4 linked regions of the Coturnix japonica genome follow. The protein of the gene in region 2 purifies or fractionates together with the protein of the main gene of each other region. This does not show direct contact. Links are inferred from orthologs where the notes say so. Each region holds a gene or a part of one and is shown on either strand. Other genes may lie near its edges.

What was found. The genes of interacting proteins can lie anywhere in the genome.
Region 1: the proteins of EP300 (region 2) and E2F1 purify together in Homo sapiens (affinity purification with western blotting, with the first as the bait; 3 studies listed by BioGRID). This does not show direct contact. The link is inferred for Coturnix japonica from reciprocal best matches to the Homo sapiens genes EP300 and E2F1.
Region 3: the proteins of EP300 (region 2) and EWSR1 purify together in Homo sapiens (affinity purification with mass spectrometry; 3 studies listed by BioGRID and IntAct, with this or other methods). This does not show direct contact. The link is inferred for Coturnix japonica from reciprocal best matches to the Homo sapiens genes EP300 and EWSR1.
Region 4: the proteins of EP300 (region 2) and SSRP1 purify together in Homo sapiens (affinity purification with mass spectrometry, with the first as the bait; 3 studies listed by BioGRID). This does not show direct contact. The link is inferred for Coturnix japonica from reciprocal best matches to the Homo sapiens genes EP300 and SSRP1.

What each region holds. Positions count from the first base shown.
Region 1 is NC_029535.1:1,931,887-1,939,426, forward strand, and holds E2F1 (transcription factor E2F1), read left to right. Parts: upstream 1-2,795; 5' UTR 2,796-2,810; coding exon 2,811-3,002; intron 3,003-3,270; coding exon 3,271-3,361; intron 3,362-3,622; coding exon 3,623-3,842; intron 3,843-3,983; coding exon 3,984-4,136; intron 4,137-4,283; coding exon 4,284-4,398; intron 4,399-4,484; coding exon 4,485-4,677; intron 4,678-5,247; coding exon 5,248-5,495; 3' UTR 5,496-6,406; downstream 6,407-7,540. UniProt on the Homo sapiens protein: Transcription activator that binds DNA cooperatively with DP proteins through the E2 recognition site, 5'-TTTC[CG]CGC-3' found in the promoter region of a number of genes whose products are involved in cell cycle regulation or in DNA replication.
Region 2 is NC_029516.1:45,419,466-45,426,262, reverse strand, and holds part of EP300 (histone acetyltransferase p300), read left to right. Parts: intron 1-27; coding exon 28-162; intron 163-482; coding exon 483-600; intron 601-999; coding exon 1,000-1,174; intron 1,175-2,839; coding exon 2,840-2,917; intron 2,918-3,809; coding exon 3,810-3,919; intron 3,920-4,386; coding exon 4,387-4,542; intron 4,543-5,578; coding exon 5,579-6,019; intron 6,020-6,429; coding exon 6,430-6,618; intron 6,619-6,797. UniProt on the Homo sapiens protein: Functions as a histone acetyltransferase and regulates transcription via chromatin remodeling. Acetylates all four core histones in nucleosomes. Histone acetylation gives an epigenetic tag for transcriptional activation.
Region 3 is NC_029530.1:9,975,630-9,983,036, reverse strand, and holds the start of EWSR1 (RNA-binding protein EWS), read left to right. Parts: upstream 1-2,662; 5' UTR 2,663-2,685; coding exon 2,686-2,761; intron 2,762-4,514; coding exon 4,515-4,551; intron 4,552-4,778; coding exon 4,779-4,830; intron 4,831-7,407. Other genes in the region: EMID1 (EMI domain-containing protein 1), read left to right, coding at 1-51, 1,716-1,828. UniProt on the Homo sapiens protein: Binds to ssRNA containing the consensus sequence 5'-AGGUAA-3'. Might normally function as a transcriptional repressor. EWS-fusion-proteins (EFPS) may play a role in the tumorigenic process.
Region 4 is NC_029520.1:7,752,073-7,759,430, forward strand, and holds the start of SSRP1 (FACT complex subunit SSRP1), read right to left. Parts: upstream 4,746-7,358; 5' UTR 4,612-4,745; exon of another isoform or gene 4,583-4,611; intron 4,283-4,582; 5' UTR 4,187-4,282; coding exon 4,133-4,186; intron 3,400-4,132; coding exon 3,214-3,399; intron 2,918-3,213; coding exon 2,812-2,917; intron 2,178-2,811; coding exon 1,987-2,177; intron 1,916-1,986; coding exon 1,685-1,915; intron 1,602-1,684; coding exon 1,498-1,601; intron 1,369-1,497; coding exon 1,240-1,368; intron 913-1,239; coding exon 691-912; intron 525-690; coding exon 452-524; intron 1-451. Other genes in the region: P2RX3 (P2X purinoceptor 3), read left to right, coding at 5,563-5,702, 6,205-6,340, 6,463-6,534, 6,605-6,671, 6,738-6,831, 6,913-6,990, 7,065-7,206. UniProt on the Homo sapiens protein: Component of the FACT complex, a general chromatin factor that acts to reorganize nucleosomes. The FACT complex is involved in multiple processes that require DNA as a template such as mRNA elongation, DNA replication and DNA repair.

The sequences.
Region 1 (7,540 bases), on a different chromosome or scaffold from region 2:
CGACTGTTCAAGAGGACACGAGCCCCACGTGCATCTCTCCCATTAGCTAAGGAACAGAAGTACACATGCAAATGATCTGAGTGCTGCTTCAGAGCTGAGTTACACAGAGGAGATACGTGGTAGAGGTAAGAGCTGTGGTAATGGAGATAAAGCCCTGAGCAAGAAGATCCCCATGGCATGGGGAGCTGTGGGAGCCCCTTGGGGATGGGAGCACTGAGCAGCCCCAGCATAGAGCTGGCTGCCCAGGGCTGGGAGAAGCCAGACTGACACCTGTGGGCTGATTGCAGCCTTATCTTCCAATGTTTGTTTTTCCTTTCATATCGTACCAAGCCATAATTCCAGGTGAAGCTCTGAGCTGGTGCCTCACCCACCCTCTGGCTTTGCGGTGCCAATGGCTGCGCTGTGCACCTGCTGGGAAGTGAGCTCAGGCTGGGTGAAGTCACAGAGTCCAAGTCACAGTGAGTCCAAGCCCAGTGCTGTACGAAGCTTAAAGCACAGAAGATGTTCTTCCCCAGCCATGCTCCTGGATGGCTCTGGCTCTCTGCAGAAGACATCCTGCCCTATTCTCCCCTTGTAAGCCAGCACACTGGGCTGAAGGCAGCCTGAGAGCCTGGTGGGATGGAGCAGCGTTCAGCAGCTCATTTGGGAGGCAGGCAGTGACTTCTCTGGCTCACAGGGGCTTCACAAGGCTGTCTTGGTTCGGGGGGCGAGCAGCTTCCATGGCCCTGCTGCCCTCACCCTGGGACCGCAGGTTGATACTGAGTTTCAACATTGGATACCACTGTAAAAGAGAAGGAAGTAAAGGAGCTGAACTTGCTCTGTTCAGCATCCAAGGCCATAGCTGGTATCCTGGGGGCAAAATTGCTACTGTAGCGTTCTGTATAGTAATACAACGAAAGGAAGGATTCCTAACTCTTGGGAAGCAGGATCCACTTGTGCCATCTCCCATGTGGAAAAACACCCAAAACGCCGTTCCAACCTGAAAGAAGGCAGGACAACGATGTGGGGTCGGGTCCCTCTGTAGGAATCCAAAGCAGCAGTCTGGGATGCTGAATGTGTCCCAGCAGGAACCCAGGGGCAGTGCTGTGATCAAACCCTCCCTGAGGTCAGAGCAGGGATGGTTTGAGTCCAGATTTGCATCCTCCCAGCTCCCCTGTGTGCTCCCACCACCAGCAGATGACCGTGCGTGGCCTTAGAGACCCACAGGCTGTCCATAATCATGCCCACAAAGGGATAACGTTGGCCAAGCCTGCAGCTTGCAGAGCCCTCTGACCCCCCCCAGCCCAGCAGGAGATGCAGTGCAGCACTGGCAGCTATCAGGGCTCAGCACCCATTGGCAGCTTATCACCACCCGCAGCTGTGCCAGGTGGGATTCATCCGCGGGTGGGGAAAAGCCCCCTTTCCCCCCTCAGCATTTGTCGCAGTGACTGTTTTGCCTTTCATTTGTCTTTGCATCTGCCCTTTTCAAGTGCCACAAGAGCTGAAAGCCTCGGCGAATTGGCACGGGGGAGGTTGGGGGGGGGAGCCCGCTCCCCCTGCATAAACTGCCGTATGAATGAGGGAGGGGGGAATAAAACAAACCCGTGCTGCCCCCAGCTGCCCCGGCCTTTGTGAGCGCGGTGGGAGCAGCTGGTGCCGCAGCTGCCGCTCACAGCCCGCGGCCCCGGAACGGCCCCGCAGCCGGGGCGGGTGGGACCGTGTGTCCGGGCGGGGCGGCACCAACGGGCCGCATCTGGCGTGTAACTGCTGCTCGTACCACTCGCTAACGGGGATATCGCCGTGACCGGGGTGCGGGTTATCGCAAGGGCCGAGCGTTAATTAACAGCGCTCACCGCCGCCAAGCGGAGCGGTGCTGCCGTTCGGTGCTGTGCTGCAGGGCTGGGCCGTGGGCTCCGCAGCCACAGGAAGAACGAGCAGCAAAACACCGCTCAGCGTTCACTACATCCCCGCTGTGAGGCACCGCCCGCACCCAGCGCTAACCCGGCCGTCCCGCTGAGCCCCGCTGCGGCCGCAGCTCCAACTCCGGCCCCGCAGTACCGAGATGGGGGGGTGTTTATGTCCCTGTGGGTTGGGCTCCGTTGGAGGCACATTGAGGTTATCAGCGCCCCGCACACGGGATACAGACGGCGGGAGCCGCCCACGCCACGTCCCGCGGCTTTGACTATGGGCTGCCCTGCCCTGCACCGCCCGCACCGCCACGGACACGCAGCTCAGCCCCGCAGCCCGCACAGCGTCACGGGCAGCTCTAGCCCAGCAGTGCAGGGAGCGCCCGGCGCTCAGACCCGTCTGTGAGTGACCCCACGCGGGACCAGCTCCGCGCCGCCCTCGGCCCCTTTAAGGCCCGGCCGCGCTCCTCACCCACGCGGCGCCACGGCCGCGTCCCCGAGACGCCTCCCGATTGGCTCCTGCCTCAGCTCGGCGGTTCTGATTGGCCGCCTGTCAGCGCGTCCGCCGCCGCCGCCCTTAACCAATGGGCGGCCGGCACCGCCCCTCCCTCCGGCGACCTCGACCAATCAGACGGTTTCCCCGCACCCCCGCCTCAGCGCTCGGCGTTGGGCGCAGCCAATGGGCGGGCGCGGGGAGGTTGGCGCCGCTTTCGCGGCAAAAAGGATTTGGCGCGCAAAGGCGCGCGGGGCCGGAGCGCGGGACAGCCCGGCACAGCCCGGCACGGCCCGGCACGGCCCGGTACAACCCGGAACGGCCCGGAACGACCTGGGGAACGGCCCCGCGGATCGGCCCCGCGCCCGGCAATGGGCCGCGCCCCCGCCCCGGCCGCGGCCCCGCGCCCCGCGCCGCCCGTCACCTGAGCCATGGCTACGGCGGGCGGCGCGGCGGGGCTGGCGGCGCTGCTGGGCGGCTCCTCCCCGCACCTCCTCATCGTCTCGGCCTCCGAGGAGCCCGCGGGCGGCTGCCGCCCCGACGCCGACCTCCTGCTCTTCGCCACGCCGCAGCCCTCCCAGCCCGGCCCCGCGCCGCGCCGCCCCACGCTGGGCCGCCCGCCGGTAACCGCGGGACGGGGGAGGGAGCGGGGCTGAGCGGGGCTGAGCGGGCCGCCGGGCGGGGCCGGGACGTCGCGGTGCCCACGCGGGACCCCCCCCCCCCCCCCCGTCAGAGCCCGGCCGCGCGGGGCACCGCCGCTCCGGAAGCCGCCGCCGAGGCCGCCTTCCGCCCGGCAGCGCCGTTGCGCGGGGCTGCCCCCACAGGCCGGGGCCCGGCCCTGCCGCCGCGGTGCGTTCCGCGTCCCCGCGCTGAGGACGCCCTGTCCCGCAGGTGAAGCGGAAGCTGAACTTGGAGACGGATCACCAGTACATCGCCGACAGCCTGCCCGCCGCCCGCGGCAGGGCCCGCATCCCCGGCAGAGGTACGGCCCCGCTGTGCTGCCGGCCTGAGCCCTTCGGGATGGGCCTCGTCACCTCCCTCTTCCCCTCTGCCACCTGCCGTCCCCGTAGAGCGCTGGGCCCTGCCCGGCTGCTCGCTGTCAGGGCTCAGTCTCGGGGCCCTGCAGCACCATCCCCCGAGCTTCCCATTGCCAGCAGCTGCCGGGTGCTGCTCACCTGCCGGGTGTGGCGGTGCTGGGGCTGCCCCGCGCCCCACGGCTGAATCTTGCACCTGTCCCCAACAGGGGCAAAGTCTCCTGGGGAGAAATCCCGCTATGAAACCTCACTGAACCTCACCACCAAGCGCTTCCTGGAGCTGCTCAGCCAATCCCCCGATGGTGTGGTGGATCTCAACTGGGCGGCCGAGGTGCTGAAGGTGCAGAAGAGGCGCATCTACGACATCACCAATGTCCTGGAGGGCATCCAGCTCATCCGCAAGAAGTCCAAGAACCACATCCAGTGGATGTATGTCCATCAGGGTGGGGGGATAACACCGAAGCTGCCAGGGTTGGGTGGAGGGAGGGAGGTTGGGTTCCACCCTGAGATCGGGAGGTGATGGCAGCAGTGGGGTGTTAGTGCTGGGGGTGACAGCCCTGTGTACCCCAGGGGCAGCCAGGTGGCCGCGGGGGCTTCAAGCCGACAGCAGCTGCTGGAGAAGGAGCTGCGGGATCTGCAGGCGGCAGAACGGCAGCTGGACGAGCTCATCCAGACGTGCACGGTGCAGCTGCGGCTGCTCACCGAGGATCCCTCCAACCAGCAATATCCTTCGGTGCGGGGCCGGGATGGGGCTGGATGGGCTGGAGAGCTGTTGGGGAATGGAGCCCCCCCCTGCTCTGACACTTATGGTCACTGTGTGGGGTTTTGGGTGTGAATGTGGCCCCGTGTCTGCTCCTTGACCCGCCGCACCGCAGCCTACGTCACCTGCCAGGACCTTCGGAGCATTGTGGACCCCTCTGAGCAAATGGTGATGGTTATCAAGGCACCCCCAGAGACCCAGCTGCAAGTCTCAGACCCGGCAGAGGTGAGTGAGGGGTCTCTCCTCCCCATGGATCTTCACAGCCCTCGGTACAACTCCACCTTGGCACTCCATGTCCCTCCTGTCCCCAGGCTTTCCAGGTCTCAGTGAAAAGCACTCAGGGCCCCATCGACGTGTTCCTCTGCCCCGAGGACAGCTCAGGGGTCTGCAGCCCCGTCAAGAGCCCCTTCAAGGCACCTGCTGAGGAGCTGTCCCCTGGCTCATCGCAGCAGAGAGCCTCCCCGCTCCTGCATCCTGCTCAGGATGTCAACATGCTGCTGCCTGGTGAGCAAGGTGGGGATGGGGATGGGAATGGGATGGGAATGGGATGGGAAGGGATGGGATGGGATGGGATGGGATGGGATGGGATGGGATGGGATGGGATGGGATGGGATGGGAATGGAATGGAATGGGGGCACTGCCTGGGCTCTGTGGTGTGGGGACAGTGTTATCACTGTTGTTCCAGTTCCAGGAGCACGAGGTTACAGGGCTGAGGTCTTGGCTGTGTGTTAGGAGGAGCCTGACCTCCATGCTCATGCAGTGCCAAGTAGTTGGACTCAATGATCCTTATGAGCGAGTCCTTTTTAAATTGGGGTATTCTGTGATCCACCCAGCTGTGGGCTCTGCTCCTACCCAAGCTTGGCAGAGACAGCCCTGGATCTTTCTGCTTAGGAAAGGACACTGTCCCTCTTTGTCCCACCACTCAGCAAGTGGTCTGAGTCACGCTGCCCAGTTGGCCTGGATGTTTCTGATCACTCCTGATGCTTTGTGTGCCATCTGCATGGCCTCAGTAGCTTAGAACACAGCAGTTCTGGTGTGTGCTGTGGGGCTGACAGCCTCGCTCTGTCCCCACAGAAGCACTGCTACCAGGCACAGCACTGCCCTCCAAGTGCTCCACAGAGGATGTGAGCCTGTCACCGCTGGCCTCCATGGACACCCTTCTGGAGCAGGCCAAGGACGATTTCTCGGGCTTCCTGGCGGATGAGTTCATTGCCCTGTCACCACCACAGGCACAGGATTACCACTTCGGCCTGGAGGAGGGTGAGGGCATCAGTGAACTCTTTGACTGTGACTTTGGGGACTTCACGCACTTGGACTTCTGAGGCTCTTGTCCTGATTTCAGAAGCTATCCCACTGCCAAGGGGGGGGACGCAGGCAGGGCTGAGGACAGCCACGTGGTGCCCTGTGCCTTGGTGTGGCTCTGGTGCCTTCCTGGGGTCCCTGTGCTGCAGCAGCCCTGGGCCCCCTCCATCCGTCCCCTCTGCAATATTTTCTTCCCTCCTATCCGGCATCTCTGTGCCATGATGGGACAGAGCCCAGCTTGGTGCTTGAGCCCACATTGGGGCCTACTCCTGTCCCAAGAGGAGGATGCTGGGGAGCAAGGGGTCCCCATTGGGTGCCCCCCCACCCACTGCGGGCAGCCATAGGGTGCCCGTGGCAGAGCTTTAAGCAGTCCTGTGTATAGATTGGATTAATTTATTATTGTTCCTTGGGGACAGCGTTTAGTTTCCCAGGAGGGGTCAAGGGGGGGTGGGGGATGTGGTGGTCTGGGGGTGCCGCGAGGTTTCCTTGTGCTGGGAGGGGCCAGCTCTGCGGGGTATTTATTTATTATTTATGCCATGAGGGGCTCTCCCGGGACAGCAGGAGTGGGTGCTGGGGGGGAGATGGTACAGGAGGAGGGTCCCGGCAGGGTATTGCTGGCCCCAGAGCTGCAGGCATCAGATGGCTGCGGGAAGAATGTTGGGGTGGGCTGGGGGTGTCCCCAGGATGTTATGAGGATGGGGAATATGTGGACCCCCATGGCCCAGTGAGGACCAAATGTTGTCTCCAGGCTTTCTCTTTCATTTCCTGCGCAGCCCTTCAGGCTGAGTGCGTTTTGGGTTTGTTTCCTCCTCCCTGGCTCCAAGGGAGGATGGAGGGACCCTGGGGCCAGGCTGGAGCCGCACTTTCACTTACTGCCTTTAACAAGCTTGTGTTCCGCTGAGCTTCGTGTTTAATAAAGGTTTCTACTGACTGTGGCCTTCACTTTGTAACTGGGATGTGAGCAGCCTCAGCACCAGGCAGGTATCCCAGTGTGGGTGCTGGGAGATGAGGGAGTGCCCTTGTGAGACAGTGGCACATGGTAGGAACAGTGGGGACAGTCCTGGAGTGGGGCTGAGGGCAGCTGTGCCCCATCCTGGTGGTGATAAGGGATGAGCCACTTCCTTCCCCTCTTTGTCCGTCACTCCTCTTTCTTTCTGCCTGGCTTCCTGCGTGTTACTTATTTAAACTCTGATAAATATTTTACTCTGGCCTGCGTTGCATAATAACCCCTCTGTTCCTGCTCAGGCTTCAGAGCTGCTTGGAGTTCAGTTTGGGGCTGTGCCCCTTGTGGCCCTGCTGAGGTAGGCACAGTGTCCTCGTGGCTCCTGGGGCTGAGCCATGAGCTGAGTGTGGTTTGAGGGCTGCTTTACCTCTGAGGCTGTGCTGGTCCCTCCTCTGCCCTGTGGAGGTGGTTCTGGAGAAGCTGGTGGCCATGGAGCATCCTCCTCTCCTGCTTACAGAGCAAACAGCCACTGGGGGGGCTGGCTGAGCTCTGAAAGGCCGCAGGTTGCACATACAGGAATCCCTTGTGAAAGTTCAGAGATGTTTGCTGATAAATCAACCCCAGCCTGGATGGACATAGGACATGTAGAGCGAATATTTATCCCCTCCTTGTGTTGGCTGCCTGCAGGGATCCTGCCTGCCTTCTTGCTGGCTGCAGCGTGTGGTGGCAGCACTGCTTTGTCCTGCAACAGCTGACCCACAGCAGCAGTATAGCTCTTACCCAGAGCTGGAGCTGAGCCCTGGGGTACCTGCTTCTTGCAGAGCAGGCACAGATCGTGTCCCCATGTGCATCGACCGCTCCGTGCTGCAAAAATAACTGCCGTGTCCCGGGGATGAGTCACAGTGCAGCTGAAGGGCTTCCCCGATTCTATTCTGGATTGCTGGGGAAGGAGCTGAGAGCTCGTGTAGGAGTTCTTCTTTCTGACGAGCACAAGGGATGCGGCGAATGTTGATCTGCAGCCCCGCAGGGTGGGAGGCAGCTCATGCCCAGCAGTGCATGAGGGGACCCGTAACCAGGGCAGGGCCCACAAGGGACCCCACACCAAAAGAAGCCTCCTGGGGG
Region 2 (6,797 bases):
CCTCAAATTCTTACTCTGTTTTTGAAGCTCCATGATGAGTGAAAGCGCCAATGTTGCTAGTCTGGGGGCTATGCCAACAGCTCAGCCATCCAATACAGGAATTCGAAAGCAGTGGCATGAAGATATTACTCAGGATCTCCGAAATCATCTTGTTCATAAATTGTGAGTAGCTAGTAACAAAACAATGGGCTGGGATGCAGAGCTTGTAAGGGTCAATGAGAAGGAAAGGCAAGAAGTGTGATGGGAGGTGTTCTTGCATTTCTTGTCCTTCATGGAGATGCACATGCTGCTTTGGGGCTGTTGTCTGGGAAATGTTCCATTCCATACTGAGCCCATCAACACACCTGGAGCATCACTCAGGGACAGCAGCAGTGCCTCAGTCCCTCAAAAAATTGCTTATTGCTTTCTGTTCCTATCAGTTGGGGTTAGTGCTGAGGTCCAGGTTTGGAAACATCCTAATAGCTTGCATGCTTTTTCTTCAGAGTCCAAGCCATATTTCCTACACCTGACCCTGCAGCATTGAAGGATCGGCGTATGGAGAATCTGGTGGCATATGCTCGGAAAGTGGAAGGCGATATGTATGAATCAGCAAACAGCAGGGTAAGATGCTGTCTTCTGTCACCTGGTTGTGTATCTCTAATCCCATCTGGTAGTGGTTGGAGAGGAAGAGGGGTAGAAAACAGAGGGTCCCAGAGCTGCTGGCTTGAGTCTAGGAACCAGCCAGCTGCAGATGTGCTGGGATTTGGGATGGTGCCTGTTTTGCTGTTCTATGCCTGAAATGTGCTGGATGAAAAGAAAAATTTTGTGTGGTGCCCTGATGATTGTCAGTTCCTGTGTTTGCCCACAAACCTCCCTGCCAGCCCTGCAGAGGGGAAGCTTCCTCCCTCCTGAGTTCGAATGTGCATGTTGAAGGATGTTTTCCAAGCTTTGCTGAGTGTGACCTGTTGCCTTATTTTAACGTCTCCTTCCCTTTCCTGGATTGTATTCCTCTCCCAACAGGCAGAGTATTATCACTTGCTAGCTGAGAAGATCTATAAGATTCAGAAGGAGCTGGAAGAAAAGCGAAGAACAAGGTTGCAGAAGCAAAACATGATACCAAGTGCTCCAGGCATGCCACAAGCTCCTGTGAATCAAGGACCTAACATGGGTCAGCCTCAGCCAGGGATGTCTGCAAGTAAGAACAGTTGGGTTAGTTGTTGCTTGGTACGGGTCAAATATATAGTGTTTTTCTGGTGTGCTGGTGAGCATTTTGGCAGTATTGTTTCATTGATACCTTGTTTACCCATCGTTAAACTGAACTTATTCATCTCTGTTTAGGAGTACTTGCAACATCTTTGTTTTGCTTATTTGTTAATTAATGACCATAGATTATCTAAAATTATTTGGTCTTGTGAGTATACTGAAGTATCCTAACCCTGTGTGCTAGATGAGAGGAGATAGAGGACATTGTAGAAATTCAGTCTCATTAATCTCACTTCTAGAATTGACTGGTAGTGTCTGAAGTTAAAACACGTTTTAATAGTATTTAACTGTCTGGTGTTTGAAATGATTATTGTTGCTGCTAAGCAGGAAGTCTGATAATCAAATTGTTTTCTACAAAATGTATTACTTATGCCTTTGAAAGTTCAGGTAGTGCTTGCCCTGTGCCATGTTTGTTTGTCGTGTTTGATGGTTTGGTTTGTTTTTTTGAACAAATAATTCTTATAGTGTGCTGTGACAACCAGGTTTCATTATTTTTCCCTATGTAGTTGTCTTGTGTTTCACAGTAGTTCTGTTAATGGACACTTATAATGCTAAACAGGTTATTACTATTATATTTCCTTATAACTAGGCATTTGCATGTTGAAGTGACTTTGGAAAGGAGCTAATGATCAAAGTTGTAATGCTACTGAGGACTGTTATCTTTTCACAGCATTAGGAAGTTATAGGACACAGTAGGCTTTGCCAGGTAACAGGTGAAAACAAGTAACACTAGTTCTTGCACTTGATATTTCTCTTCCATTCATTCGTTCCTGCATGGTTTTTAGATACTTCACAGTTAAAAACTGAGCTCTGAAGATGTCTAATCAGAGTAGATGTATAGCAGTCAGTGACAATATAATAAATTGTCCTAAGAACATGGAGTCAAAGTCAGAATTAGTCAGTTGAACAGGTAAGAATCAGGGGTTATTTTTCTTATGCTGCACGATGATCCAGTAGTTCCAGTGATATGCTATAAGAAGCTTAATCTGAGGGGTTTTTCTCCTTTTTGAATATGAATGTATATTGGTAATTCCAGTCTGGATCTTTTCATACTTGAACTTAGAACTGGGTTTACCAATATGCATTACCAAAAAGCAGGAAAGGCCTTTAAGATTGGTACTATGAATTTATTTGTTGTAACTTCCTCTAGATCAGGAGTAGATGTGATATTTTGGTTGTTTATCCCATATGCTAGAAGAACCAAACTTTGGAGATTTGATAAAGTACATCAAACCAGCCCATTTTTATAGTGTTTTCAATCAGGAGGTGCAGTAATAGCGTAGAGTAGTTTGCATAAATTCCTGTGGTCTGGAATGTTCACAAGCTGCTGAGTTTTTCATTGTACCTCAATAACATATTTCATATTTGTCCACATTTTAAAATCTGTCTGCAAGTCAGAATATCTTTAGTTAACTGGATATCAATTGGGTTTTACCTCATACTTGAGGGACTCTTAAGTATGCTTAGTTTAAAATTACTGGACAGTGTCCATGCTTGTTTTTTTTAACTCTTTTTTACAGGAAGATTTTCACTAGAATGATTAAAAAACTGGTGGTTTCTAAATGCCATAATCTTATTCCAGAATCTTTTTTTACAGATGGTCCTATAGCTGACCCCACACTGATACGTGCTAATGTGCCAAATCAGATGATGAATCGCATGCAGGCACAGCCAGGTAAATTTTATATGAAAATTTGCTACTGTGATTGTGAAAGAATTGTGGAGTTAGGTAGCTCTTGCTGAAGTGTTGTAGCCTTCGTTTCACCTGCTGTATTCCCACTTGTCCTGTACAGCCTGCTGTAGGGAGCCTTCTTTGCAGGGGGGTTGGTCTTGATGATCACTTGAGGTCCCTTCCAACCCCTATAATTCTTTATTCTGTGAGACCAAGAAAATAGATCTGTGCTTTATATACATATATGCGTGTGTGTATATAAATATTTGTGTGCGTTTCTGTGCACAGTGTTGTTTCATTTTCTTGGAGATGTGAGCTGCTTATTACTGCTTGCTTAGTTAAATGAGGAACTTAATTTTTTTTAAATTATTTTTAAGTTTCTGTGTGAACATGAGATGGTAGACCCGATCAGCTTAGGGTGAGGGCATGTCCAAAGCAGAGGGAGGATGATGAAAATTGCTGCTCTGGGGTAGAACCTTGGTTGTATTTTCAAGAAGTATTGCAGCCAATATAAGGAGCACTTAAATGAAGATTCACAGTCAGGATTTGCAATAAATTAACTTCTAGTCATTAAGATAATGCAAGCTATCACAAATTGTATGTGGGATTAAGTCCTTCAGGGGAAAAAAAGCCAATACGTATTCTGAAATAGCTTCAGTGCTTAGTACTTAAAATTGTTCTGTTAACTGACCAATAGGAGAAGAAGGTATTTCCATTACGTGCTTTCCATGGCATGACTGGAAATTTTTTCTTTAAAAAAAAAAAAAAAAAGAAAAAAAAGAAACTGACAGCATTCTTCAAATGTTGAATGGCGCCCAAAGGAGAATTCAGGCCTCTGATCATAAGTGGTTTTTTTTTTGTTGTTTGTTTGTTTGTTTTTGTCACAAATGTGCAGGAATGAATCAGTTTGGCCATATGAACATGCAGCTGTCACCAATGGGACCCCGGCAAACTCCTCCTCTTCAGCACCCTGGACAGCTAAGCCAGGCCGGGGCCATGAACCAGGTCAGTGTGCTTCCCTTCATCTTGGGTATTCAGCTCATGGGTTTCTGCTGTTGTGCCTTCCTTAAAATAAGCAAACAAAAACAAATACAATTTAAACATTATTCCTGTGTTCTGTAGGCACTTTGGCTTCTTATTTCTGCAGTGCCACAGAAGATGTGTCTGGTATGTGGTCAGCCTTGGTGATTTAATTAAAAATACATGTAATTTCCTTCACTGAAAACTAGGTTAAAGTGGAGTTTTGGGCTATTGCTCTCCTGAAGCAAGGAACAAATTGAAGTCACAGTCTGAAATCAGTATCCCTTTGGTTTGCAGATGTCATAATTTCTAACTTTTGAGAGTTATAGTAGACCTTCCATACTGTATCCTATGCATAAGTATCAATCAATCACACAATTTCTGAGGTGAGATAACTGTTTTTATAACATACGACAAAAGTATATGAAATAAGTTCCTTTCTTTTCCAACAGATGGGATTTCCTTCACGTATGCAACAACCAGGAGTTGGCCAACCTTCTGGTCAAAATCAGTTTCTGCAGCAGAACCCATTCCCTGCTTCTTCCCCAGGAATGAATGCAGCGAGCATGCCTATGACACAAACTAGCAATCAGACACCAGTTTCTCAAGTAAGTTTCCGATTTTTGGAGGTTGTGTTAGTGGGCTCTGTCATATGATGTTTTTTTATGTTCAAGTTTGTAATAATGGAGAATAATTTGTTTTATCAAGATGCTATTGGAGCTGTAACCATCTGAATTCATTTATTGAGGCTCAGCATTTTCCTGGCTATTGTGCTGGTAGTGGTATGGGTAAAATGTTGGCTTGTTCTCAGGCTTAAGTTTAAGTGACAGAGAATTATTTAAGTTTGTATCTGTGAAGGAAAGAGCTTGTTGCTCGTATATCTTGCTCATATAGTAAAGAACAGCAAAGCAGTAGAGACTGAGAAATTAAAAGATGCTGGAAGAACAAGGCTTAAAAAGGCATGTCCAACCACAACCATCAAATGTATTTTGCTGCCCTTTGGGGAATAGGATGGTTGTCACTACTAAAGATTGGAACTTCCAGTCTAGCAGTTTCTTTTCTGTCCTTTCCCTCTCCCTTTTCAGTGAGAACCTTTCAGGCCAGGAAGAAGTAGGGAACGTCAGTTTGCTTCTCGTTGATGCTTCTTCCTAGTTTGCAGGCAAGATTATTGTGAAGTGACAGCTTTTTTTTCTTGACCAGTACATCTTTTTGTAATCTCATAGCGCAGTTGCAGCTATATGTATTTCTGATGATAAATTCAGTTTCTAGTCTTGTGGGTGGGGGCATGGGCACACTGTATTTGAATCCATTCTTTCCACTGTCATGTATCGCCGCATATTCAGGGTGTACATATCTGCATTTTTTGAAAGAAATGTTTTGCAAACTGCAGGTGTAAGTGTGTCATTCTTTGAATGTATCGATGAGTATTATTTACTCTGAAACTTCTGTTTTAGAGCTGAGTATACTACAAACAGCTATATGTTCAAGTGATACAAAATGAAAAGCCTGTTTCTCCTTTTGAAATATATATATATTTTTAAGTTTGTCACTTTTTGAAAGAGTATGCCAGTAACTGTGGGAAAGCAGCCGTTTTAACATCTTTCTATTTGAAGTCATTGCAGATGTGTACTTGTTTTCCCACAGGCACAAATGAACAGCTCTTCCTGTCCTGTGAATTCTCCTGCCATGGCTCCAGGCTCTCAAGGGAGCCATATTCACTGCCCACCTCTTCCACAGCCTCCCATGCACCGAAATTCTCCTTCTCCAGTACCAAGTCGAACCCCAACACCTCACCATACACCCCCAGGCTTGGGATCACAGCAACAGCAGGCGGCAGCAGCTGCCACCACTGTCCCCACCCCTACTCCTCAGGCAATACCACCTGGACCACAGTCACAAACTATGCATCCCCCTCAGAGGCAGACTCCAACACCTCCGCAGGCACAGCTGCCTCCACAAGTCCAGCCTCCAGTTCCAGTTGCCCCCTCTGCAGAGCAGCAGCAGCAACCGTTGTCACAGCAGAGTACAACAGCGTCAGTTCCCACACCAACAGCACCACTGCAACCTCAGCACCCCACAACACCTGTAAGTAAATATTTTAATTGAACAAATGGGCAAATGTAAGGTTTAGGATCTGGTATTTCCACAGAGGAAGTAATTCTTTTCATGCATGTTGAGAAATGCACAGTGAAATATGCATGGGAGGTCATTAGTTATGTCTGCATATGCATAGTGATGGCATAGAATAGGGAAACAATATGAAATTATATACTAGACCTTCCAGTGAATGTCTGCTGTGCTTTCTTCTATAACTAGACTTGTGTTAGCAGTATGTACTTCAGGTTAAGCAAGTGGAAGTACCAAAGTGAATTTGAACTTGATGGAAATAAGGTTATAGGTAAAAGGTAGATCAGAGCATAGAAAAATAATAGGTTAATTAGAAGTCTGTCTGTAATGTGTTTTGGTTTTTTTTGTTTTGTCTTTTTACTCCTTAGCTGTCACAACCAGCTGTAAGCATTGATGGGCAGGTGTCCAACCCCCCATCCACCAGCAGCACAGAAGTGAGCTCACAGCAGACTGCAGCAGAGCAGCAGCAGCCACCTTTGCAGGAAGTGAAAATGGAGATAAAAACAGATGAAGGGGAACCAGAACAAACAGAGCTGCAGATGGAGGAGAAATCTGAGGTGAGCTGTCGGTTTGTTGTTGGAGAGAATAACTGCTGTTGTTAGCTCCTTGGTCTCCATGCAAGCTTGTCCTTTTAGACTTCAGTTTGTATGCTACCTACTGCTGTGGTTTTGTCACCTCCCTTACCTCTTCCTAAAGAAGGGTCTCTGTTTTGTGGTAAAATTATGGTAGAAACCAG
Region 3 (7,407 bases), on a different chromosome or scaffold from region 2:
AGATTTTAGCAGAGAGGGTTTTAATCTTGGAAACAATGATTGGGCTCTATGGTGAGTAGGGGGAGCGCAGGAGGCAGCCACGGGGGGGCACAGGGGTCCCTCCATCCACGATGGGCTCCATTATGGGGAGCAGCAGGTGCCCCCTTCCCTGAGCCCCATGGGGACACATGTGTACCCCCATCCCCACACCAGGGGTGGCACTCCCCAGTGAGTGCCCCCTCCCTGGACCCATGGGGACAGGAGAGCCCCTCACATCCCCCTGGGACCATGGGAGACCCCACACCCTTTTGGGAGACCTGGCACCCCCAACGCTTGCACTGCACCCCCCGGCCCGGCTGCGCCCGCACTGTGCCATGGGGCAACCACGCTCTGCTCTGCTCTCTCACTCTCCACCAGGCCAGTAGCTTCCAAGCCCTGCTGCGGCAGCAGGCCCGCCTGGAGGTCCTGGCTAGAAGGGTCACCCTCCTGGAAGCCATCATCTGGCCAGGTAACTGCACCACCACCGCGTCAGACACCCCCCAGCAGTGGGGGGAGGGATGGAGAGGGACCCCAGAGCCACCCCTAGGAGAGACTGTTGGGCTGAGGGAGGCCCTGGAGATGCTCAAGGATCATGGAGGGACATTGAGACCTTTTTGGGCTGAGAGTGATGGCAGAGAGAATCACTTGCACCAAGGGGACCCTCCTGGGTTGAGGGAGGACTTGGATGTGTCCAAGGACCCAGGGGTTGCTCCAAGGGCTCAGGGAGCCCCAAGGAACAAGGGAGACCACAGAGCAAGTCTTTGACCGAGGGAGGCCATGGAGACACTCTTGGACCAAGGCAGACCTTGGAAATCCCCGAGGATCAAAGGAGAACTTGGAGCTTCTCTTGGGTTAAAGGGAGAATCTGGAGTCCCTCTTGGACCAAGGGAGACCATGGAGAGCTTCTTATGTTGAGGAAGGCCCATCAGGGTTGTTCTCCAAGGAGAACCAAGGAGGCACCGGAGCTCTTCTTGGTGCAAGAGATCCACCCAGTGCCCTTCTCAAACCAAGGGAGTCCCTGGTGGCCTTCCTGGGAGAGGGACACCAAGGGACACCTGGGGGCTCCCCAGGGATCAATGGGCCATGCAGACCATGGAGCTCCCAGGAACATCTCAAAGCCCAAAGGAGACCCTGGAGGAGCCCCCAGCCCCCTCACACTGAGGCTGACTCCATAACCAGCTGCCCCCTCCTGCTGTTCCCCCTTTCCAGCTGTGCTTTGCTGCAGGGGCTCTGTCCTCATCCCTGCGTGCCAACCGGGGGTGCCAGGCGGGGGGTCCTCATCCCTTGGGGTGTGGGGGTCATGCTGGGGTGGTAGTGGTGGGGGGACACTGTGAAGGGACACATGGAGCTGGGGGCACACCCAGGGCCAGCCGCCCCCTTCTGTCCCCAGTGTCAGAATGGGAGGTGTCTGGGTTGTTGGTGGCACTTGGGGACCTCATGGTGATGGAGACGTGGTGGGTTGGATCTTGTGGTGACAAGGATGTCCCAGTGCCAGGAGACCTCATGGGGGTGGAGGGACCTGGTGGTATGGGGACCCTACGGTGGGCAGCACCCAATGGGGGCACAGGGATCTGTGGGGATGATGTGGGACCCGACGGCCTCGAGACCCCACGGTGGCACAGGGGCCCCTGAGGACCATTTGGAGCTGTGACACCCCACACCCCACGGCCTCACAGCTCTCTCCTTTCCTCCTGCAGAACCAGAACCCGGCTCAGGCAGCGGCCCCGGGGGCCCACCAGCACCCAGCCCCCCCCGTGCCAAGCGTCGCCGCTCACCCCCCACCCACCAGGCTCTCCCTGGCCAGCCCTAAGAGTGCAGCCCCGCTGTGTCCCCGCTGTGTACATGGAGGTCCTGGTGCTACCCGGTGCCAATGCACCGGTCGGACCCCCCCAGCTTTTGGCCCTGCTGCTCTGCACCCCCGTGCTGGGGGGCACAGGGCCCCCACGGCCACCCCGGTGCTCGGGGGGCTGCATCCCGTGTGCCGTCCTGGCACTGCCTGGGCATTAAAGGTGTCCCCAGAGCCGTGTGTCACTGCTTGATGGGTGGGGACACGGGTGGGCGGCACCGAGGGGGGGACACCCATGGTATCCTATGACACCTATGGGACAATGGACACCCACACCGTGACACTCGTGGGACAAGCAATAGCAGCGTGTTGTCTGTGGGACACCCACACTGTGCCACGACACCCGTGGGACATCGCCCATAGCACGGCACCAGGGGGCACCCACAGCACAGCAGGGACACGCAGGGACACGCACTCACTGCTGTCACCAATGGGACACTCATAACGCACCACCAGTGGGACACCCACGCAGTGCCATGTCACCAGGGGGGCACTGACCCATAGCAGGGTCCCCACCCAGTGCTATGTCACCACTTGGATCCCTATTACAGGGAGCCATAGCCCCCCATACCCTCATACCCCCACGCACCATCACGCCACGCGTGACACGCTGCGCCCACATCCCGCCAACTCACGTGACGTCACGCTTAGCCACGCCCCCTTAGCCACGCCCACACCGAAGCCCCGCCCCCTCTCGCCGCTCCGTAACGGCGGCGGGCCGCACCACCCGCCGCTCAGCGCGGGGGGAGCCCTAAGCCCCGCCCACCGCAGCGCCCCCCATCGCCGATCGCAGTGGTGCGTCCCGCCGGGCGGGGCGGCGCATGCGCAGCGCGGGGCGGCCGCGGCGGCCGGACGTTGGGAGCGCGGAGGAGGAAGAAGAGAAAATGGCGTCGACGGGTGAGCGGGGCCGGGCGGAGCGGGGCGGCACACGGGGCTCCGAGGGGAGGGCACGGCGTGATGGGCGGGACGAGGGGCCGCGGGCCGGGCCGCACTCGGCCATACCGCATCCTTTATCGGAGCCTGGGCCTCAGGGCAGCCCGAGCTGAGGGGGGGCGTTGGGCCCTCGGTGCTGCGGCCTGTTGGGAGCCGGGCGGTGCGGGGCTGTGGGGCCGCGGTGCGGAGCGGGAGCGGCTGTGGCTGTGCTCGGCAGCACCGTGTCACTGCGCTGTGGGGGGTCGCCGTGATGCCGCTGCTGCTGGGCCCGGTCCTGACGCTTGGCCGGGTTTGTGGCGGTCAGCGAACGCTGCGAGGCCTCGTGGAGAGCGGCCCGGGCATCAATGGGGGCGCGCACGGTCGTTAGGGATGAGAGCGGGTGGGTCCGGCAACTAATAGCGACAGGATGGGGGAGGGATTTAAACTCCAATAGGGGAGAATGAGGTGAGGTGGTAACAGGAATCCGTCATTGAGAGGGCGGTGAGGCTGCACGGAGCTGTGTGTGCCCCATTCACTGCCCTGCTACAGGCCAGGGGTGGGCCCTGGGCAGCCTGAGCTGGTGGGGGGAGGTTGGGTGATATTTAAGGTTCCTTCCATCCCATTCTAAACAGCGTTTTTAACGTGATTCCATCACCTGCAGTGGTAGCAGGGTGGTGATGTTGTGCTGTTGATAGTCTTCAGGCAGCCTCTCCAAGCTCGCACTCCTCATTTTATTCAATAGAGACCAGTTTAACACAAGGTGTGGTGGCACACACTCCTCATTTTATTCAATAGAGACCAGTTTAACACAAGGTGTGGTAGCAGCAGAAACGTCAGAACCCTTTTCTGTGTGGGGCTGCCTGGCTCTGAGCAGAGCTCTGTGCACGTTTGGTTTCCGAGTCCAGCTCAGGATGCTACGAGCAAAGTCTGAACCTGTTCTTCATCTCTGTCCTTGGGACCTTTCCGGTCCTGGCAGAGCTGGAGGAGTGTCCCAGGAAAGATTTGCTCGTAGGGCTGGATTCATTGCTGCCATTTGCTCTAGGTGGGAACTGGAAACACTTGGTGGCTTGGAGGGAAAGAAAGCGTGCCCGTAGGAGCTGTAATCATTTCAAATATAGCCTGGTAATTGCCGTGTGCATGCATTTTCCATCCCTAGCAGCAAGCCAGTTCGGGAGAGGTTTTTTTTCTTCTGGTTGGATTTTCTGGATTTCAGTTTTGCTCTAAATCACACTATTTACATGGGCTGGAGCTTGGGGAAAGGAATTGCTGCCAGCTGCTGGTCGCAATCCCTCCTAGGGAAAAGAGAACTTGCCAGTGATGGGTTTGTGTCCTTGAGAGTTAAATAGACAAAGTGCTGTGTTTCGTACAGACTCAAGGGCTTACAACCTGGCCCTTTGAAACAGGGGGGTTTGTAAGTGTCAGCCCCCATGTTACCTTTGTTCCAAACCCCACTACCAGCCCCCTTGGGTGCCATCGAAAATGGCAGTTCAATTAAAGTGGGGTCATTTGAGATCAAAGTTGGTGCTGCAGACAGCAGAAACAATAAAGGGAAGAGAGGTTTTGTTTCCCTTTAGAAGGCTGAGAAAATGCATTTACCTTACTCTTTTGAAACTAGATTTCCAGGGGTTTATAGCAGTTCTTTCAAGTTGCTGGAGGAAATTCCAGCTGCTCTGCTCTTACACTGTTAATTTTGTTGAGTCTTTGTCAACCTTTCTTTCTGTTTTTGTTTCTCTTGTAGATTATAGCACCTATAGCCAAGCTGCAGCTCAGCAGGGGTAAGTAGCATTATGGCCTTTTATCATAAAAAGTTGTGATGTAAGTGTGTGGTAATTGTGGTTTAGTCTTAGCTCAGGTCTGCTTTGCAATCCCTTTGGTTTTCTATTGGATTATGTGCTGTTTTAACACTTGAGCAGAAAGATTTTGGCTTTAAAAGCCATTGTGTGATATCTGTATTGCACAAGTACTTGAATGCATCATAAACATCTTGAAATTCATTTTGCAGCTACAGCGCGTACGCACCTCAGCCAGCCCAAGGATACGCACAGACCACGCAGGTAAAGCACAGGAGGGGATTCTGACCCTTCCTGGGATCCCAGCAGCCACTTCTGAGCCCTGAAACATTCTGAGCAGCATCAAAACCTGTCATTAGGAGCTGCCTTGTAACTTCCCACACAGCCTGTGCTTAAAGTGAAACTGCCTTGATGTCTGGGAGCTTCCACATTCTCTTCCTTGTTAATATATCCCAGTTGTTGCCAAGAGGATTATAAAAACCTAATTCTTGGTGTACGTTTAACACTTACGTGTCGGAAGGGTGTTTTACTTGGTGGTGTGGGAGAGAGAAACCTGAAAAAGGAGTAAAAGAAAGGGGAAATTGCCATTTGTTTGATGGCAGCACTTGGAAAAGTTAGGAGGAGAGGATGGATTTCTTCCTTTTTCATGGAGCTGTTGTAGCTATTAGTATTGTAAGTTGGCTAAACTGCAAACTGCTGATGATCTTTCAGAGATGAATGATGCCTTTTTTTGTTTAATCCTTAGAATCCAAGTTACTGAAACCACAGTTATATGCAAAATACGAGTGTGGTTTTTTGAAGTCAACTTGGTTGACTTTCCCCAGCATCTCCAGACAGTGTTTTTTTTTTTTCTCAAAGGAAGATCCTGCCACCCAAAAGCACGTCTGTGTTCTGCACACAAAAGCTGTTGTTCTGGAGCATTACAGAGCAGAGCTAACTGGGCTTTGTGCTGCTGCCCACAACTGCCAGCTTGATGCGGATACAGAATCACACAGAATTACCCGGGTTGGAAGGGACCTCAAGGATCACGTAGTTCCAACCCCCCTGCCTAGCAGGGCCACCAAACATACACCTTTACTAGATCAGGTTGCCCAGGGCCCCGTCCAACCTGGTCTTGAACACCTCCAAGGACGGGGCATCCACAACCTCACTGGGCAGCCTGTTCCAGGACCTAACCACCCTTCTAGTACAGAACTTTCCCCTAACATCCCTCCTTCAACTTAAAACCATTTCCCCGTGTCCTGCTATTATCAGCCCTTTCGAAGAGTTTACTCCCCTCCTGGGAGTAAGTTCCCTTCAGGTCCCATTTGCTTTCCGGGCCGCCAGAGCGCACTGCTGGCTCATGTTAAGTTTCTCATCTATCAGGACCCCTAGGTCTTTTTCAGCCGAGCTGCTCTCAAGGACAACTCCTCCCAGCCTGTACAGGTGCCTGGGGTTCTTCCAGCCCAAGTGCAAAACCTTGCACTTTGCCGTGTTGAACCTCATTAGGTTCACCCGAGCCCAGCTTTCCAGCCTGTCAAGGTCCCTCTGAATGGCATCCGTTCCCTCCACCGTATCGACTGCACCACTCAGCTTGGTGTCATCAGCAAACTTGCTGAGGGTGCACTCCATTCCCTCATCGATGTCATTAATAAAGATGTTAAAGAGCACCGGTCCCAAGACAGACCCTTGAGGGACGCTGCTCGTGTCCGGCCTCCGCCTGGGCGTAGAGCCATTGACCACCACCCTCTGTCTGTGGCCTTTCAACCAATTGCTTATCCATCTAGTTGTCCACCCATCAAATCCACCTCCCTCCAATTTGGAGATGAGGATGTGATGGGGGACCATGTCAAAGGCCTTGCTCAGGTCCAGGTAAATGACATCGGTTGCCTTCCCTTCATCCACCAACACCGTCACTCCATCATAGAAGGCCACAAGATTAGTTAAGCATGACCTTCCCCTGGTGAAGCCATGCTGGCTGTCTCGGATCACATGCTCGTTCTTTATGTGATCAAGCATGTTGTCCAGGAGGATCTGTTCCATAATCTTCCCAGGCATGGAGGTGAGACTCACCGGCCTGTAGTTACCCGGGTCCTCCCTGCTCCCCTTCTTGTAAATGGGAGTGACCTTCCTCCAATCATCCGGGACCTCACCTGACAGCCACGACTTCTCAAATATGATGGAGAGCGGCTCGGCAACCACCTCAGCCAGCTCCTTCAGGATACCTCTGCAAAAGCATCACTGTTACAGGAGGGGCAGAGGTTCAGTCTTGGCATCTGGGTCAATTGAAATGGAAACGACAATACTTAACATATTTATTCAAAATGAAAAGAGAGAAGAACTGCAAGAACTGCTGCTGAAAGCACAGGTTACGCAGAAGGTGTAGGCAGCCTGGCAGATATAAGAACAGGAGGTTTCAGCATCCTTTAGTGCAAGGCTAACAGCTCATACTCAGCAGCAGGCAAGTTGCCACATGAGGTTTGTAGCATCTCATGCCTCTGGGTGCACTGAGCTTCCATGGGTAGTGGAAAACTCAGTCTGAGCAAAGTTTTTCTCTTTGAGATCTGTTGGCTTCATTAAGGTCTGTATTGCTTGTGTGCCAGGGAGTCTGGCTCACAAGTTACACGGGCTTAGATCCCAAAAGGCATTTTATTCCCAGAAGCCAGTGGATATCTCTGAAAATCTGGACGTTGAGGAGGCTTGTCTTAGTGCTTCTTGAGCTCTAACTAAACTTTCCCCCCAAACCCAGCTGCTGAGCACACAGCTGTTGGCAGCTGGCTGGTGCCTGAGGTTCAGGCTGACTGAGTGGGCTGTGGGCTCTTAAGCTGACAAAACCACAGCATCAGCAGCTCTGTGCTAATC
Region 4 (7,358 bases), on a different chromosome or scaffold from region 2:
GCTGACCACATCTGCATACAGTCCATTCTCTAGAAACTACAAGCATGCACGGCCAGGCTGGGAAACACACAGCGTCCCATCTGTCTCCCTGTCTTCTCATCAGGGATGCAGAGAGGGGCAGGAAAGGTTCCCAAAGGTGTTATCTGAGTTAGGTGGGGGCCCCTCTTGCAAATCATGCTGCAGTTACTGAGTTTAGTCAGAGACCAACACAGCCATGCAGAGGAAACCTGCACCAGGAGGAGGAAGGAGAAAGAGGAAGGGGTATCGCACGGACCTTTTTCCTCTACAAGGGTAAGGAAAGAAAAGAAAGGTGAAAAATAATAATAATAAAAGGAATAAAAGCAGCAAAACTTTGGAGAGAAGAAAAAAGGCCCCAAGTCATCTCCCCACCCCAGCCTGCAGGCCACTGATTCTAGCAGGGCACAGAGAACCAGCCCTGTGCAGCAGGTACCTCCTTGAGGCCTCGGTTCTTGATGTTCAGTTTCTTGGCATTGACGAAATCAAAGAGCTTCCCGTACTCCTCCCTATAGCAGAGACAAAGTGGTCAGGGACAGGTTGAGCTTTTTACACCTTGTTACATCAGTAAGGATCCACCACGTGTAACCAACATGGAGGACACAGGGACAAGGGGGCTGAGTGGCAGGACAGAGAACAGCCCTGTGTTACAGTAAGAGCTCGCTCCGTGCCCACCTCTCTATGCTGCTGAAGGTGTACTGTGTGCCCTGCTTGGTCTCGATCTCAAAGTCAAAGGAGCGGGTGGTGGTGGTCCCACGGGCAAAGTTGACAAAGGAGATCTCATCAAAGCGGATGTGTACTGGTGGCTTGTGAACGTAGATGAAACCACGCTCCAGTGGGTAGAGAAGTCCTGAGCTGGCCTTGTAGGAGCAGGTGATGCACTGGGCTCCAGAATGTCTGTGAGGGCAAACATTGCCATGTCACATCAACAGGAAGCAAACAGCCCCACAGTGAGACAGCAGCTTTGTTAAGTCCACCAACCACCCCCACGGGGTAAAATTCTTGCAAAACCCCTTCATCCTAACTACAGAAAGAGATGTTGGCCCTGCTGTCCAAGTCAGGAAGGGCTCTCAAGCAGCTGGCCTGAAACCACAGAAACAAGAAGAATGTCCTTTCCTAAGGACAACAAGGCAAATTTTGCCTCTGCCCCTACCACCATGCACGCCCTTAGTGTAAAAAGGTCCCACATTCCCTCGCCCAGCCAGAAGCAACAGCATGCCTCACCCCTGGAAATTGCCAGGCACAGTGATCTTGCGGTTCACCAGTGCCTTCATAACCCGGCTGACCATCTCATAGAGGGAGCCTGACATGTTCTTGGTGAGCCGCCCCTCAAAGCGTTTCTCCACCTCTTCCCTGTGTGGCAAAAATAGAGGATAATGACAAAAGTAGGGACCAAGGAGATTCATTACCTGCACTCCTAGCTCTCCCCACAGCCCCCAGATCCAGGGAGGGGGAGAAGGGAGTTGCCTGGAGAGAACTCACTCATTCATGTTGAGGGTCAGTGAGATGTCTTCATCCTTTGAGAAAAGCAGGATAAGGAAGTGGTAGCGGGTCTGGCCCTGCTTTATCGGGGGATCCAGGCTAATCTGAAAAGAGAAGAGGAGATGAGGACCCAAAAACCCTCAAAACAATTTCCTGAGAAAGGGAGGACCACTCAACCCCTCCTCACCACAAAGAACATCTGCCTTTGGTCCTTGTGTGGGAGCAGGAAGAGGCGCAGCACAGTGGTGTAGGGGATTTTGTAGTCAAAGGTCTTGCCGTGGAGGTGCAGGAAGGTGGGGTAGATGCGGATGTCGTATCGCCCGCGAGGCGTCAAACACTGCAGCTCCCGGAAGATGCAGATGGCATCACCAGTTGCCTGAATCACATCCGCCTTGGAGAGTACATTCTGAGCAAAGGCCTATAAGGAGAAGGAGCTGTGGTCAGGCACTAGGCGAGGGCAACCAACTAGCCCTCCTGTGCCTCACTCACCTCCACAGGGTCAACACCATCCTCCTGGGTAGGGGGGACGTAGAAGCGAACCTCCATGAGCGAGACCTCAGCGTCATCGTTCTGGTGGAACTCCAGCGTCACTTCGTTCTTGCCCGTCGTGCACTGGGAGACATTGCTGAGGGGGATCTCAAACACCGGCTGCTCCCCGATGTCAAAGGAGAGAAGCTGCCCTACAGGAAGTGGGGAGGGATAAGAACCTCAGGTCAACCCTGCTGGGCAGACCCAAGGTGAGTTCCATCCCAGATCCAAACTCCAGAAGCAGCATCGTTCTTCTCTCAAAACCCAGCAGTGCCTCCCCTCTCCCTCCCTTCTTTTCAATGTTTTCAACGCAGATATCCAGGCTTTCTCCTCCCAGCTACAGTAACAGAGAATTATATTGATCAAAAACAAATAGGCTGTTTATTCCCCTCTTCCTCCTCTCTCAGAGCAGGGAGGGGCATTCACCAGCTCTTCTGGCTCCCTGAGGAATTGGCAGGCTCTATTAGATGCTCACAGCTCCCATGCAGATTTCTCTTTTACATTGAGCATTCTCTGCCTACCCCCACCCCGAACATGCTGTGCTGCCTGCAAGTATCTCCTGCTTTCCTGGGATGACCGACATCCATACTGTATCCAAAACCACCACTAAAAAAGGGAGCAGTTTTCCAGAGGAGCATCTAAAGCTGTCAACAGCCAGGGGCTGGTGGGATGAAGACACTGACCCACCAGATGCCCATCCAGCCCCACCACCTTGACCTACACACTGCAGACTCTCTTGCTCCAGCAGCAGCATCACCGCTCTGTTCCTGTCTTACCATAACTCACCTCCAAACCTCACTGTGCCCCAGTTCCAACCCTTCACACACAGGTCCTTCTCAGCCAGCTCCAGGCGATAGTGTGCCTTGAAGAAATCTGAGAGCTTATCAAACTCCTGTGAGGGGTGGGAAAGAACAGAGAAAAAGTGAACGCTCATCAGAAACTGCTGTGTACGCATCAGCACGACCCAGAGCCTGTAACTGGGACATTGCCCATGGTACGAGAGAAGTGATGAGAAAAAAACAGACATCAGCTGCTGTTAAAGGGAAGGAGATCAGCTCTGTGAGATATGGCAGATCCTGCAGGCAGTGTAACCCGATACAGAGCAAGCAAAGAGACTGTGGCACAAGCGAGCTGAAGAAAGGATGGTCAGCATGGCTCAGACAACAGTCAGAAACGGCACGGACTCACCGATTCCCGGAAACCATCGTATTTGTAGACATGGCCATTCTTGGTGAGAAGCTTGAGGCCGTGACCGAGCGCCACACGCCGCCACACACCCTCTGCCAGCTCCGAGGCCTGGATGTTGTCCACCTTCCCTGTCTTGCTGTTCTTGAAGATGACGCCCTGGCGGCTCAGCCGCAGCCGGCCATCGTTCTGGTGGGAGGTGGGTGTGAGGTACAGGCAGCTTGCCCCGTGCACATGGAGGGGAGCAGCCCAAGGGTGGGAACTTCCACGCAGCACAGACAGCTGCTAAGCTCTCCCAGGGGACGCAAAGCGAATTCCCCAACCACCCACCAGTTTCTGTTCTCCATGCACTCCTTACCACCCTCCTTTGGGATTCAGGCAGCCGGGTTGCCAGCAGCCTCGGTACTAGAGCTCCATCAGGCATTTAGGAACAGTCTCCCAGATGCCACAGGGTAACCCAGAAATGCTCAACATCACTGCAGCATGGCACTGCGCCCCACCCCCCCAAGCACTGGAACAGGCTGATTTACAGCACCCAGCTGCCCAGCAGTAGCTACTGCATCAAAGGGTGAATGCTTGAAGCTGGCATCCCTTCCCCTGGACACGTTCCCAACCACAACCTTGCTAGCTCCGCAACAGGCTGCTACTAAAAGCCCCTGTTGATGCTCCAAAATGCTTCAGCTCTGGAAACAAGGCGCCTCAGCTCCCATTTCCAGTCGAGCTCAGCAAAACAAGCTCTGCCAGGACAAGGCAGCGGAAGAGCTGCAGGGATGGGGGGGGGGGGGCCATACCGCACCCCTGGGTGTACAGCTGAGACCAGGCCTCAGAGCCACACCGTGTGCCTCCAGCCTGTGAGATGGGGCGAGCACTCCTGGCATCAGGCAGCACCCCAGATAGCTGCCCCCAGCACCGAGCTGCTCACCATGGATCCCTTCACCTCCTGGTAGATCTCGTTGAACTCCAGCGTGTCAGCCATGACGAAGGGGGCCGTGCTGGCAGGCAGGCAGGAGGAGGCCGGAGTTCAGCTCCGTGCCGAGGTCGGCATGCCCTGCTGCCACCGAGCAGCGACGTGCTGGGGGCGGAGGAGGGGGGAGAAAGTGAGTACGGACATGGGAACCCCAGAGCGATCCGTGAGGGATGTGACCCCACAGCAACACCCCCCCCTTAACGCCTCCCCGGGGCTCCCAGGGCCGTTGATCCTCCCGTCCCACTACAGAAGGGGCACAACAGCCCTGAGCAGCCCCTACCACCCCTTGTTCCTAGGCCCCACGCCCCCATCCGCCGCCCCACAGCTCACACCGGCCGCCCCCCCTCCCATCACCCCCTCCCCCCAGCGCCCTCCCCACCCATCACCCCCCCCCCGTCAGCCGACCCCTCGTTTCCCGCCTGCGCAACACGAACCTCGCGCGAAGCCGCCTCCCCCCACAACCGCCTCCCGCGCCGCGGCCGGAACCCGCCCCCACTTCCGCCATAGAGACGAGCCGCCGCTCGGCCGCTCTGGCATGGAGGCGGCGGGGTGGAAGGAGGGCGGGCTAGAGCGGCCGCTCCCCGAAGCGGCGGTCTGTCTCACCTGGAACCATAGAGAGGAGGGAGGCCTCCAGCCGGAAAGTGGGGGGGCTGCTTCCCATTGGCTGAGCCGGGTGATCCCCGTGACGTTATGGTGGCTGTGCCCGGCACATGGCGGGTCGGGGTACAGCTCTAATAGGGCACTGCGGAATGGGGGTACGGCCAACGTGGGGCACCCCGCGTAAAGGGCAGCCCTACAGCGGGACACAGCGATATGGGACCCGGCCAGGCGCTGCGAGATGGCACACGGGGTCCGCGAGCACAGAGACACCCGGAGTGGGACCATCCCGAGTGCGGGGCATTAAAAACCAGAGTCACACTATTCAACACAGGGCACACAGCAACAACAACAGGGCATACAGCCCCCAACAACGGGGCACACAGCCCCAACAACAGGGCACACAACCCCAGTAGGGCACACAGCCCCCCAGGGCACCCGGGCAGCGCTGCCCCGTGTAGCACCGCCGCACAACCAGCCCTCTCTCACCGCCTCTCTCAGCCCTCCCCCCACCCACATCCTCCTCCCCTCCCTCCTCCTCCTTCCCCCCGTGCCCCCTCCCTCCATCTCCCCCTGCCCCCCCTCCCGCTCCCTCCGTCCTGTGCCCACCCCTCTGCACCACCCCGCCCGCATCCCTGCCCACATCCCCGCATCGCTGCCTTTATCTGCCCGCATCCCTGCCCGCTGCCTGTATCCCTGCCTCGCTCCCTGCGTCCGTCCCTTCCCACCGCCCGTATCCCCACCCGTATCCTTGTGGAGCCCCTGCTTGTGCCCCCGCCCGGCTGCCCATGCCCCCCCAGCGCTCCCAGTCCGGCTGCCTGGCTGATTTCTTCTCCTACGAGACCACCAAGTCGGTGGTGGTGAAGAGCTGGGTGGTGGGCGTCGTCAACCGGGTCGTGCAGCTCCTCATCCTTTCCTACTTCATCGGGTGAGAGACCCTCCCAACGGGACCCCGCTCCTCTGCTGGTGTCCCCCCACCCCTCGGCAGACGCTGCTCCCGGTGTACACGGTTTCCCTGATGCCGTGGTGACAAGCTGGGGACCGGGAGGGTGACACCGAGAGGGGACGTTGGGTGGGTGCATGATGTGGGGTCAGGAGGGTGTCGTGGGAATGGCAGCTGCCCGCTGGGTGTGGGGGTGGGAACCAGGCTGTGAGAAGTGATGACAGCCACGGGCAGAGGGGGACAGGTGGCTGGCAGCGTGTCTGCGATGGGGACACCAAGTGACACAAGGGAAGGTGATGGGAGGGTGGCTGTTGGCGTGGATGATGGAGAGGAGAGGAAGGGATGGATGTTGAGGAGCATATTGAACCCCATGGGGTGACACAGGCAGGTGACAAGTGGCTGTCGGAGGGCTGGTGACAGGAGGACTGTCTGCGGGTGGCAGGGGGCCAACCAGCTGTCCCCATAGCCTGACCCCTCCACCCCACAGCTGGGTGTTCCTGCATGAGAAGGCCTACCAGGTGCGGGACACTGTCATCGAGTCCTCGGTGGTGACCAAAGTGAAGGGCATCGGGAAATATGGCAACCGCGTCCTGGACACAGCAGACTACGTCACCCCCCCACAGGCAGGAGACAGCAGGGAACCCACCCCGAGCCCTCCTACCTCGTCTCAAATAACCCCAATAGTCCCCGTGTGGCATGGGGCTGGAAGGGGGGTGGTGGTGACACGGTGTCCCCATCACCGCAGGGCACCTCGGTGTTCGTGGTGGTCACCAAGCAGATCCTGACGGAGAATCAAGAGCAGGGCGTCTGCCCAGAGGTATGGAGACACAGGGGGTGGCATGGGGGGCACCGGTGTGCCCCGACCCACAGACACCCCCCCTCCACAGAGTGAAGCCACATACCGGTGTGCGTCCAACCGTGACTGTCAGGGGAAGGGCCGCACCACAGGCAGTGGTGAGTTTTAAGGGAGGGGGATCCCAAAAACCACAGGGTTTGAGCCCACCCGCATTATGGCCACAGGGGTGCTGACAGGACGCTGCATCCCCTACAATGTGACCCTGCGCACCTGTGAGATCCGGGGCTGGTGCCCACCCGAGGTGGACACTGTCGATGTGTGAGTGTGCAGCAGCAGCAGGAGGGGGGATAAACACGGTGCCCTCTGCCCCATTCAGGACCACCACCTCTCTCCCCACAGCCCTGTGATGCTGGAGGCTGAAAACTTCACCCTCTTCATCAAGAACAGCGTCCGCTTCCCACTGTTTGGCTTCGAGAAGTGAGTGGCACTGAGGGCACACGGGATGGGCTCTCACTGCTGGAGGCTCACAGCCGTGCCCCCCCCCCCCTCAGGGCCAACCTGCCCCCCCATGTCAGCGCAGGAGAGCTGCAGCGCTGCCGCTTCCACCCCGAGCAGCAGCCGCTGTGCCCCATCCTGCGGCTGGGGGACGTGGCACGCTTCGCCGGGCAGGACTTTGCCGCACTGGCTGCCACCGTGAGCATAAAGGATGTGGGATGCGGGGATGGGGAATGTGGGGACAACAGGGTAGGGGATGTAGTGACTGGAGGTTTAGGGCCGGGGAGACCTGGGATGTGGTGTGCATGAATGCGGGAATGGGGACATGGGGTGTGGAAATCGGGGATGTG